Xenopus tropicalis: one gene and its partner. The protein of the gene in region 1 purifies or fractionates together with the protein of each later gene. This does not show direct contact. Links are inferred from orthologs where the notes say so. Each region holds a gene or a part of one and is shown on either strand. Other genes may lie near its edges.

What was found. The genes of interacting proteins can lie anywhere in the genome.
Region 2: the proteins of bbs7 (region 1) and bbs4 purify together in Homo sapiens (co-immunoprecipitation; 7 studies listed by BioGRID and IntAct, counting the BioPlex papers as one, with this or other methods). This does not show direct contact. The link is inferred for Xenopus tropicalis from reciprocal best matches to the Homo sapiens genes BBS7 and BBS4.

What each region holds. Positions count from the first base shown.
Region 1 is NC_030677.2:66,815,857-66,821,531, forward strand, and holds part of bbs7 (Bardet-Biedl syndrome 7 protein), read left to right. Parts: intron 1-232; coding exon 233-307; intron 308-709; coding exon 710-775; intron 776-1,000; coding exon 1,001-1,140; intron 1,141-1,827; coding exon 1,828-1,992; intron 1,993-3,013; coding exon 3,014-3,123; intron 3,124-4,360; coding exon 4,361-4,464; intron 4,465-5,503; coding exon 5,504-5,627; intron 5,628-5,675.
Region 2 is NC_030679.2:92,228,770-92,235,205, reverse strand, and holds part of bbs4 (Bardet-Biedl syndrome 4 protein homolog), read right to left. Parts: intron 6,242-6,436; coding exon 6,187-6,241; intron 5,710-6,186; coding exon 5,641-5,709; intron 4,084-5,640; coding exon 3,931-4,083; intron 889-3,930; coding exon 717-888; intron 616-716; coding exon 546-615; intron 1-545.

The DNA of each region.
Region 1 (5,675 bases):
TTTAATATATACAAATTGCCTTCAACATTGCAGCAACATGTTTTAAGGTTTATTTATTATATAAGGTTTGGTTTCTCTTCAAGGTGATCTTTACATGGCAATTAAACCTCAAATGTGGTTAAAAAAAATAGCCAAATCAATAGTATTGTGAATCCACAGTAAGAATAGATGTTTTTCAGCCTGTGGAGTGGAGTGAGAGGTATCACAGTGCTCATGATATTGATGTTTACAGAGTGACGTCCCTGTGGATCTGCTGGATGTCGACAAGAATTCAGCTGTGGTCAGCTTCAGCGGCTGTGATAATGAGGTGAGAAGTACTTGTGCGAGGATCTAAGAGGCATCTTCATTTAAACCCTTCAGCAGGAAATTGTATCATTTATGTACATGAGAAATTATACACTTGCTCAGATATCTCACACATTACAGTGACGCTTCTGGTATGAGGCAAGGTAAATAATGTACTTTAGGCAGCACTTTACTTTAAGAAGAATTAGTGAGTGCAGAAGAGCTAGGAGAAAGTGGGAGGGATTGGCTTTGGCTCTGCTGCCTCTGGTGGCAATGTGCCAGAAGGTTGAAGGTAATTCAGCAGCAAGCAGAGTATCCATTGCTCAGATATGTGTATGTGATTCTGGTTTCTCTGAGCTTTACATTCGTATTGAAAAAGTTTTGTAATAATTCTTAGCTGATTATTTCTAAATCTTTCTTACAGCCAAATGGCAACTTCCTTCTTGCTACCTATCGTTGCCAAGCTAACACCACACGGCTTGAACTCAAGGTAAAACAAGCATTTAGATTTATTTCAAGTAAAGTAGGAATGAAAAACCCAGATCGAGTGTACATGTGTAATACTCTCTCCCTCTTCTCTTACTATCTCTCTCTATATATATCTTTACTTATAGCAGCTGGGATTGCACACTATCCGTAGTGTTTTTTGCAGGTTACCTTTTTTTTCTCTTTTTTTTGCATTAAGGCTGATTTATTTTTTCATTTATTAAAACAGATTCGGTCTATCGAAGGACAGTATGGAACCCTGCAAGCATATATTACACCTCGCATTCAACCAAAAACTTGCCAAGTCCGCCAGTACCAGATTAAGCCTTTGTCACTTCATCAAAGGGCTCATGCCATTGATCAGAACAGGTACACTGTGCCAGAAATGTTTTTTTCTACACTGCATGGGAAAGCCAAAAGTATTGTGTGTTTGATTGAAGAAAAATAATGAATCAGCAGTTCAGCACTTCAATAAGGCTATGCCTCCACCCAGAGGTTTACAACTGTTGAGCAACATTATTACCTCAAGTGAGGCCTAAGTAAATGATAGATCAGTCTAGCCTGAAGGCTAGCTTTCTGTGTGATTTGAGATGACTGCTTATTTGCTTTCAGAAACAAATCAAATGCCACCCTGAAAGTCAGGTAGTAGATATTTGGGCTGAGCACATTGCTCTTGTAGATATTCTTGGATCTTTAGGAAGGTGACATTAGCACCCTTAAGCCCATTAGACTCTGTATTGCACATGTATGAGCAATTAAACAATGCCTGACTCACTAATATGGCAACACAGTCAGATACAATATTAGGACAGGTAGAGGATTTTTTTTAATAAAGAAGAGCACAGGCTGGCAGAACTTATCATCTATTAAAGTTTGATGTTATCAAACATCTCCACCTTTTATTTTGGCTCATTGTTCTTTAAATATATTTACTATTTTGGAAGGGAACATATATTTAAAATTAAATAAATAAAGCTTCATGAAGGAACAGACCAAAAGTGGATGAGAGTATGAGTTATGCTAGACTGACAGTAATGATATGTGCATGTATTTCAGGCCCATGAACACGGTGAGCCTGACTGGCCAGTTCAGCTTTTCAGACATGCATTCCTGGGTTGTATTTTGTTTACCTGAAGTCCCTGAGAAAACTCCAGTGGGAGAGAACGTCACCTTTTACTTCAAGAATACCTTTCTGGAAACGCAGCTCGAATGTACATACAGGTAAATTGTAAAACTGGGTTCTTCAGAATCATTTCCGCCAATTAAAAGCACGATTGGAAAAAATTTGGAGTAACCACAATAATTTCTAATGTGCAAAAATTCTTTTTTTGGTCATACGAAAATATCGTGGTTGCGATCCGAAAGTCACAAAATGTTCATATCCGAACGATCGTTAAAGGTGCGAGATCCTTTCTGGCTTTAAAACTTAAATGCATGATTTTGGAAGCCTCCCATAGGACTCAATGACACTCTACAGCTCCAACCTGGCCAAAAAAAAGTCACAATACCAAAGCTTAAATGAATTCCGAAATTGTCGTAGTCTTTGCAAAAAATACAAAGTTTTTGTGGAATTTAACGAAAACCACGAAAAAGTCTTACTATTTTAACGATATTGTTGTAAATACGAAAAGGTCTAACAATTAGAAAAAATACAATTTTTTCTTATTCGTGGTCAATATAACCAGGACTGTTATATATAATGTTCCAGAATGTGCAATCCATTTACAGGTATGAGACCTGTTATCCGGAATGTTTGGGACCTGGGGTTTTCCAGATATTTCCATAATTTGGATTTCTGTACCTTACTACAAAAATCATTTAAACATTAAATAAACCCAATAGGTTTGTTTTGCCTCCAATATGAATTAGTGCAGCTTAATTACGATCATGTACAATGTACTGTTTTATTATTACAAAAAAAAAAAAGGAAATCATTTTTAAAAATCTGGATCATTTGATTAAAATGGAGTCTATGGGAGATGGCCTTCCTGTAATTTGGAGCTTTCTGGATAACTGTGTCTGGATAACTGAACCCATACCTGTATCAAAACTTGTTAAAACAAAAGTACTTCAGTCAGTGGGTCTTGTGCAGCATCAAAATATTATGTTCATTAAAAAAATATATATATGTTGTCACTGAAATGTCTTCTGTGGACTTCCACAGGAAATGAAACCTATATATAATATATTATACATATATATAGCATTGTCATTCATGCTCACCTCTTTTTTTTTATCACAGAAAGGGAGAAGGATTATTTAAATCTGACAATATATCAACAATTTCTATCCTGAAAGATGTGCTGTCAAAAGAAGCCACTAAAAGAAAGATTAATCTCAACATATCATATGGTATTTTGTCTAATTTACTTTCCCTTACCTAGCCTTATACAAACATACATTCCACTGTTCAGTGCTCTTGTTCTTGAAATGTATTACTTTTGTGAGTATTTATTTCTTAATATACTTTTTGTAATCTTTTATAGTGCAGTATATCTCCACCTTTGTATTGCAGACTAACACAAGCTGTTTGTTACCGAGTCTGGAGATATTTCAAGTAGTTCAGTTATGTGTGCCATCTAGTTAGGAAATGTTGATGCCTTATTATAAATATATTAGAAAATAGAAATTATATTCATTGTAAAAAGAAAATATTTCAAATCCATATTCATTTTATCTGAAAGAGTATTTAGTTTCATCAAAAATATAAAATACTAAAATATTTTAATGAATGTATACTGGAAAATTATTATATTGAAAATAACAGTTAAATGTTATTTTTGAATTTATATCCCTTTAATACTACTGACTTGTTTCTCAAATTAGTGAAATAGGTTGCTAAGTTTTTCCCCAGGCTGGTGCTCCTGGAGGGAACTGCACCAACCTGTAGAAAAAACTGTCTGAGCACCGCACCGGCATCTCCTTACCTTACTTTCTTATTTGAGTGCAGTGGCCGGTAAATGGTAAGTAAATTGGCGGCATGGCGCTCAGACAGTTTTTTCCACAGGCTTTTAAGATTCTCTTCTAACAGGAGCACCAACCTGGGAAAATAATATAGCAACCTATTTCACTTAGGGGGCCTAACATTTTGGAACCCCTCCATAAAATAGACTTTACATGTCCTGTAATACAGATTCCCTTTGTAAATGAGCTATTCCTTATTACAAAGGCTGCAGCTTAGGTATTAGCGGGGTTTTTTTATACAAAGCTCATTATCTCCCTTTGAAATATTACCCTGTTTTATTTATTGTGCTATTTTCAAGCCAAGGTGTTTACTGCCCCTTTGAGGGAAGATAAATTGTTAAAATGTCAGTAATGGCACTTCTGGTATAAAACATGGCTTTTACTGCTAAGAAACAAACCTAGAACTTTATAATGTAAAAGAAAACAAATTTATGTTATGGCCTTTTAACATTATTTTTTAAGAGCTGTTCACTTTTCCTGAGCTCAAGGGTAATGTTAATGAATGTTAATGCAGTTTGGATAGTAATTACTAGAATGAATGTTACGGTTCCTCCATGTGTAGCAAGCTTTTGCAGTCATCATATAAAACTAACTTTTGCCTCACTTCTTCTTTTGGTTTGTGCAGATATAAATGAAGAATCTGTTGGGCACACTTTGAAACTGATTCATCCAAAACTGGAGTACCAATTGCTCTTAGCCAAAAAAGTACAATTAATTGATGCTCTGAAGGTGGGTAATATGTGTTAGGAGCATTTCTTCTTGTGTGAGCTTTTAGCTAATTAGCTATCAATGGGTCTGTCTATGTTTCAAAATCATGAATGTCAGCATGCTAGCCAGTGTTGGATTACACACCCCAACTTTAAGATCATAAAAGCAACTTTTCTCCTTTGGGCACTGGGGGTTGAGGTAATCATTGTGGTAAAGCATTTTTCTCACAGAAGCAAGACACTGATATCAACAGGGCTGACACATGGTTTTCCCTTCTCTGCATTTTCTAGAATTACACCAGCCAGCTCTAGCCTTTCTGTGTCTTGTTGGTAACAGGTTCTACTGTCGCATACCCATCTGACACCCTAAGCTTGGCTGGTGTGAGACTCTTGCCCTCGTCATTTCCCTTTGTGGGAAGGATTTCACTATTTTGTCTCATTGTCCCTCTCACCTGTTCATTTTACCAAAGATTAAATCATAGGCACTTTAGAAAAAGGCATTGATAACATGTAGCATGTTCCAGTCTGGGAGAGCCAAAAAAGTTTTTTCAGGTTCATGGTAAAGTAATCCTCAGTTTGTGGCTTATAGTCTCACACCCACTCCCTGCATTTTCACAAAAGCAGTGGCAGTTCAGGGCTCCCTCCCAGCATCCTGCAGCTCCCCACCCCAGCATCCTCCAGCTCCACTCCCCAGCATCTCCTCAAAATCCTCCCACCAGCATCCTTCATCTTCCCCCCCCCCGCGACCTGCAGCTCCCTCCTCCAGTGACCCCCTGCTTCCTCCGTCCTTGGCTGCTTCTGTCCCCCCGGCTCCCTGCTGCATCCTTTTATATGGTTGCGCCACATGCGTGGTGACGTCATGCGCACGCACGGGGCGCAACCAATAAAGGCCCGTCATTCTTTTAAGGGGGCCGGAGTTGGCGGGCCAGATTAAAAAGGCCAACGGCCCAGATGTGGCCCGCGGGCTGTAGTTTGCCCACCCCTGTTCTACAGGATACGAATGCTCTGCAAATGGGCTTGAAATGATTGCTGAACTATTTAATTTTGGTTTTGTACAATAGGAGCTGCAAGTTCATGAAGGAAACACAGACTTTCTGATCCCAGAGTACCGTTCTATTTTAGAAGAGGCAGAGAAACTTCAGGAAGAATACAAGAAGCAACCTGCACATCTTGAAAGGCTTTATGGTGGGTTTTGATGGTTTTTAATATGTGGTCCCCATATTTTACCCAAAA
Region 2 (6,436 bases), on another chromosome or scaffold:
AAATCACATATAATAAAAAAATAAAAGACCAATTGCAAATTGCCTCAGATTATTACTCTCTACATCATACTTAAAGTTAACTTAAAGGTGAACAACCCCTTTAAAGACTGGATTGTGGAAACCACCAGGAAAACCATTAAGTGCTCATACACATGGGTGTGTTAGTGACGCGTTTTTACTGCTTCTTAAATGCTTTATAAATGCATAAAGAAACTGAAATAAAAAGCAAATTGAGCAATACTTATAAAAGTATATTCAAGCAGCTTGAAAATGCACTGCGGCTGCATTTATTATTATTTATATAGCGCCATCAATTTACACAGCGCTTTTGCTTTTATTTGTGCTTATTTCCACAGAGTAAAATCATGTACGCTCTCCATGTGTATATAAGTAAGGGCAACAGAGACCACAATGACAGAAACAGCATAAAGAATGCATAAATGACTGTAGGGAATAAATGGCCACCTATAAGGGCAAATTGTTTTTAAAATTTCCAAAAAAAAAATAAATAGATGGGGTATGATCAAACACTGTTCTGAACTCACTGATCCAGACTTGCTGCCTGCTGATATGAGCTCTTGGCATTTTCAATATCATCCAGATATGTGAGTGCCACTGAGGAGAGAAATATCATATTAATAATATTATTGACAGTGATTAAATAATTTGTAATAGAGTGTATAATTGGACTTGTGGGAGGTTTGTATGCTACGTACCTGCCAGCAACATGTAAAGGCCAGCATTACCATGGTGAAGAGAGATGGCTGCACTTAGGAAGTGGAATGCGGAGGCATACTGCTGCATGCTGAGATGGACTAGGCCCAAGTTATACAGAACTCTCCAGTCAAATGGGGACAGGTAAAGTGCACGCTTAAGACAACTAATGGCCTGCAAATGAGAAAGCAATTATCATGGACATGAAAAAGCCCTTCTAGCCCACACTGCCATCTTCTTCCAGTCTTCCATGCATTCCCTGCTGGGCTTAGGCAAAGGCATGTACAGTACAGAACTTTTCTTGGGGTTTCTGAACTGAGCATGCACCCTCCTAGCATTGGCACAGGGACTCCTAGGAAAAACAAAGTAGATGGAGGCATGGCATGCAGCAAACTGTACCCTGGGTTGGTGCATTTCTTGAAGAGGAGTACCAGCCCAAGAAAACAGGTAAGTGGACTAGGATCACTGGGGGTGACTAACATCTTGGTAGCCCCAATGTGCACTTGTTTTGGAACCACTCATTAAATAAGACAATATCAATGTTCACTATTTTCCAGGCATTTTATTTCTAAAAAGATACAGTGTTCTGGGTGCAAGAGATCACTACAGTATATACAATTACAGCACAATTTTGGCTACTCAGAGACATGATATTGTCCTTCAGCAAATTTAAAACTTGTAAGTCAAACTGATGTAAAGAATACAAGTAGCTTTTATAATGGAGATTATTTGCATGTTGAGATACAGGAAACATATTTTGTGTGGAACTTTCCTTCTCTACTTGTAAATAATTGGAAGCAGCCATACAACTGAAGAGTTGCACTGCTATAACATATGTTTTCACACTGGAGGTGCCCAAGGTGCTGTCTAGCAATAGTAAGGGATATTCTATTAAATTTTAACATGAATAGCCCAGGCAGATTACTAGAATAAATATGATGTCAGGGAACATAGCTAGATACTACATTTGACAGTTGAAAATGTTTATAAAAGTACAAAGAATAGAATTCATGTTCTGTTGCACTTAGCACATCTGTGTATGGTTCTTTACTGTTCTTTAGTGAAAAGTAAATATTACAACAGAGTGCAGTGCTACTAATCTCTGCCATAAACACTTCTCCTGTCTCTGCGCAATAAACCATGGATTTAAGTACTAAGGCTCATGGCCCACAGGGAGATTAGTTGGCCGTGGCTACTGTGGGCAACTAAACTCCTCGAAATGCCTTTCCACTGACAAAGTGAATCCATGATGGAATGGCATATGCCTTGCTTCCTTTTCCGAAGTCAAGCAGGAGTAAACTTTGCATGTTCGAAAAAACAAAACAATATTCATTGCCTTTTCACCAACAATTCACTTTGTTGCTTGTGGAAAGGCATTTTGGGAAGATTACTCGTCCGCAGTAGCAGAGATTTAACCTTAGGCAACTAATCTCCCGGTGGGACATCAGCCTAACAGAATGATCTTATACGGGCAGTGATGCAAGTTGTAATCCTCTTTGCTATGAAGATCTTTCCCTGCACCAGAATACAGCACAGTTAGCCTGTGACCTGATTCCCTTATTCAACCACTTGTTCTAACAACTTGCTATGCGTGGGCACTGTAAGGATAGATGTTAACAAACAGCAAGTCCTATGGATTGCTTTCCACTAGATTTGTATGGGTTAAACCAGTCTTATTTTATTACAATGCACAACTATTGCACATATACAATAATTGCTTACAGTGTTTTGCATGTGTGCATATATACAAAGCACAGTTTAATTTTTATAGAGAAAAAGGAAATCAATTTTAAAAATCTGAATTATTTGATTAAAATGGAGTCTATGGGAGACAGGCTTTCCCTAATTCAGAGCTTTCTGGATATCGCATTTCTGGAGAAGCGATCCCTTACCCGTAACTATATTTTTGGCTACATATATCAGTTGTACACATGGATTGTTTAAACAGTCCAACAGAGTTATTTGGTACAGCTTTATGGCAACAGCCCTGCAAATTGATATTCTACTGTGATTTTTAGTTTTTACTTTAAAGATCTAACTGAAATCATGTTGTCTGTAGTGCAGGCCCAGACTGGCAATATGTGGGTTTGGGCAAATGCTAGAGGGGCTGCTATAAGATGCCATAGACAGTCACTATTTAGTGGGCTGTTTTGGCCTCTGTGTACTTGAAATGTCAGAGCCTATTTTGAATCCCAGTCCAGGCCTGTTGTTGTGGGCCACAAACATCTACAGTGAGGAACATAAGTATTTGAACACCCTGCGATTTTGCAAGTTCTCCCACTTAGAAATCATGGAGGGGTCTGAAATTCACATTGTAGGTGCATTCCCACTGTGAGAGACAGCATTTAAAAAAAAATCAGGAAATCACATTGTATGATTTTTAAAGAATGTATTTGTATTGCAATGCGTATCAGTATATGTCATTTCTCAATGTAAAAGTACTTGAGCACATGATGAATTATGCAGGAGAAAGAAAACAGCCCAGCGGCAAAGTCAGTTCAAGAAGTACTTGCTTAGGTGGGTGTGCATGTTAATCATTCTGTAAGAAATATAGGTTTCTCCTGCTGGGGAGTAATCATTAGGGTGTCATTAGCAGGGAATAATGCAATAGCTGTTACATTCAGCTACTAACAGGTTCCTCGTTATATGCAATTTTAAACAAAGGTAACACTGTACTTCAAATGAAAAGGTTGTTTGCTTCCAAAGATAAAGTCTGGTGTGAATGACTTAAATAAGAACACAAATTAAAATAATGCCAAACCCAACATACCACATACCATACAACCAGACTCTAAGATATTCTGTGCACAATAACAAAATGGAGACGGCAGCTGAAATGTTTGATGCAGGTGCGAGTGTCTGGGCTGGGAAGCGTACCTTAAAGAACTCCATTAACTATTATTGGGTCTTATGTTTAAGATATTTAGTTACACTTTATCTTCTTAATTATGATATTCTTCATATCAGTGGCTTGCAAAGCAGTGACATAGCATCAAATCTGATGGCCGCTTAATTTGAGGGTCAGTCCTTATTTCTTGGAAATCTTGGAAATCCCCAATCTGTTACATCAAGGTTTTTATATATTTCTAATTCTGTTTAAGATAGCCTTGAAGGAAATACCAATCTACAAAGTTGGGCCTGAACCCAAAAAGTTTGAAGGCTCCTGTTCTTGATTATGAAAGGAGGTACAATATAAAATCATAAGAGCATACTTACCGCCACATACTTCTTTTTCCCATAAAAACACATGCCAATGTTATTCCACAAAGGGGAGCTTTCAGGGACACTGGAGGCTGCAACTCTGTACTTGCTGAGGGCTACATCATAATCTCCATGGGACTGCATCATACAGCCTGCTGCTAATATACCCTAAAACAGAGAATACTTTATGCAGTCAAGCCAAGTATGATATAGTACACAAGCTTGGCATTTAATCAACAAAAATTAAAATAATTACAGGCTGAGGCCAGATTGAGACCAATATCCCATTTAGACTGAACACTTATTTATTTATATTCCCAAATGTATATAAAAAGTAGACTATGCAAATAATGACACTAGGAATCTACAACACCTTTAGTAAATCACACTGCCTGAAACACACAGCTCGCTACAAATATACTTTGAGTCTTATTGGTGATGATTGCAGCAGTAAGAGAAGCATTAAAAAAAAATAGATAATATATAACATAGGTTCTTAATTGCAGGCCTGCTGGCTGGATATGGTGCTCCAAAGCATTTTAAGACAACCAGTTTATATAATTTGCCCTGAAAACATGTCTTCTTATGTACACAGAACATGAAATATGATGTATAGCACTAATATATTATTGCAGGCCTTACTGTGGCTTCTACAAAAAAAAAAACAAAACACATTAATTCTGTAGTGATGCTGATCCTGTTATCATGCAATCTATGTGCTTTTAGTGACTTGGTTACTGTGTTTTGTGTGGAAATTCAGTATAAATCTTAAATTTTGCTTAATGAAAAAATTTTTAAAGCAGATAATAATAAAGAGACAAATATAAAAAAAAGTACTAACATTAACAATGAAAAGTATGTATATACTGCAATAGAATTAAACTACTGCTGGTAAAAAGTTACAAATGGCGATGTGCAAACGTACATTCCCAAATTTCCCTTGCTAAATTTTGTTATTTGGCTACTAGAGCCCAATTTTATAATTCTTATTATTTACATTTATTTACAAAGCCCCAACATATTCCACAGTGCTTAACAATTAATGAATGTATACATCAAACATACAAATTACATACTTAAAACAACAGATTCCAGAGGGAAAAAAGCCCACTCTGAGGCATAGTCTAAGGCAGTGATCTCCAATCAGTGGCTCGTGAGCAACATGTGGCTTACCAACCCCTTGGATTTTGCTCCCAGTGGCCCCAAACCAGGTAGTTATTTTTGTATTCCTGACTTAGTGGCAAGTTTTGGTTGAATAAAAACAAGATTTACTACCAAATAAAGCCTCCTGTAAGCTGATATTGTGCATAGAGGCTGCCTAATAGCCAATCTTAGCCCTTTTTTTGGCACCTCCATGAACTTTTATGATGCTTGTGTTGCTCTCCAAGTCTTTTTACATTTGACAGTGGCTCACGAGTAAGAAAAGTTGTGGGCACCTGGTCTAAGGCAATAAATTACGTGAATAGAGGATGTGCATTCTGGAGCCCCTCAGCTGTTTGACTGCATCCCCAAATAGCCAAACTCCGGAGATGCAGTTCAACAACTGATGGGATGTAGGTAAGATAAATATCTAACAAAGTCACAAAATCGTATGTCCTCTTTAGACCAGTTTTTCAAGAAGGGGCCCCACTGATGATGGGGTTCAGAGCAAAAACTTTTTTACCATCTTCTAAATCTAAATATTTTGAGAAACCTGCTGCTATGACTGCAGAATGTTTACCTTACCTTATAATTACTAGGGTCATATGTGAGAGCATTCCCAAGGTATTCAAAAGCTTTCTGGAACAACCCATTCTGTGGATAAGCATAATATGAAAAGTAGAAAGAAATGAAACTGTCAAGCAAACAAACAAAGTAGAATTATCAAAGGTTTGTGTGGATTATAACAGGAGCCTATGCAGGCCAATCTGGAGAGGACATGGCAGATAAGGTACCAATTTGGTCTGAAGGGAAATTAAACAGCTCAAATCTGCTGTTGTATGGCCAGCTAGATAGCACTTACATAGCCAAGAGCAGAATAAACAAGGAACTGGGACAGGTATGATCAAGATATAAAAGGCACAGAGATGCTGTATGTTGGACTGCTATTATAAGGGCTATGCATATACTATGTAACTTTATACTATATACTACGTTATGTTAATCCTTTGTTTGGATGTATTACTATTCAAACTATTACAGTTAGATCTAAAAAAATAAGGAAAGAAGAATTCAGGTAATACTGCACTCTGATATGATTTGGACAAAACAATTAATGTAGAAAACACAGACCTGCAGGTACAGCAATCCCAGTGTTGTTAATAGCTCAGTGTTTTCTGGAGAAAGCCTTTAAAAAAAAAATACAAACATTTCATATAAAGTTAACATATGCATTTGTCTAAAAAGTAAAGAACAATAGCAACATTAATGTGTTTATTTGTTCTTATTTATTTTCTTTTTTGATTTTATTTCTGCTTTTGTTGATAGAAAAACAATAAAATTTTACCTTTAAAAAAAAAAAAAAAAGTAAAGAGCAAAATAT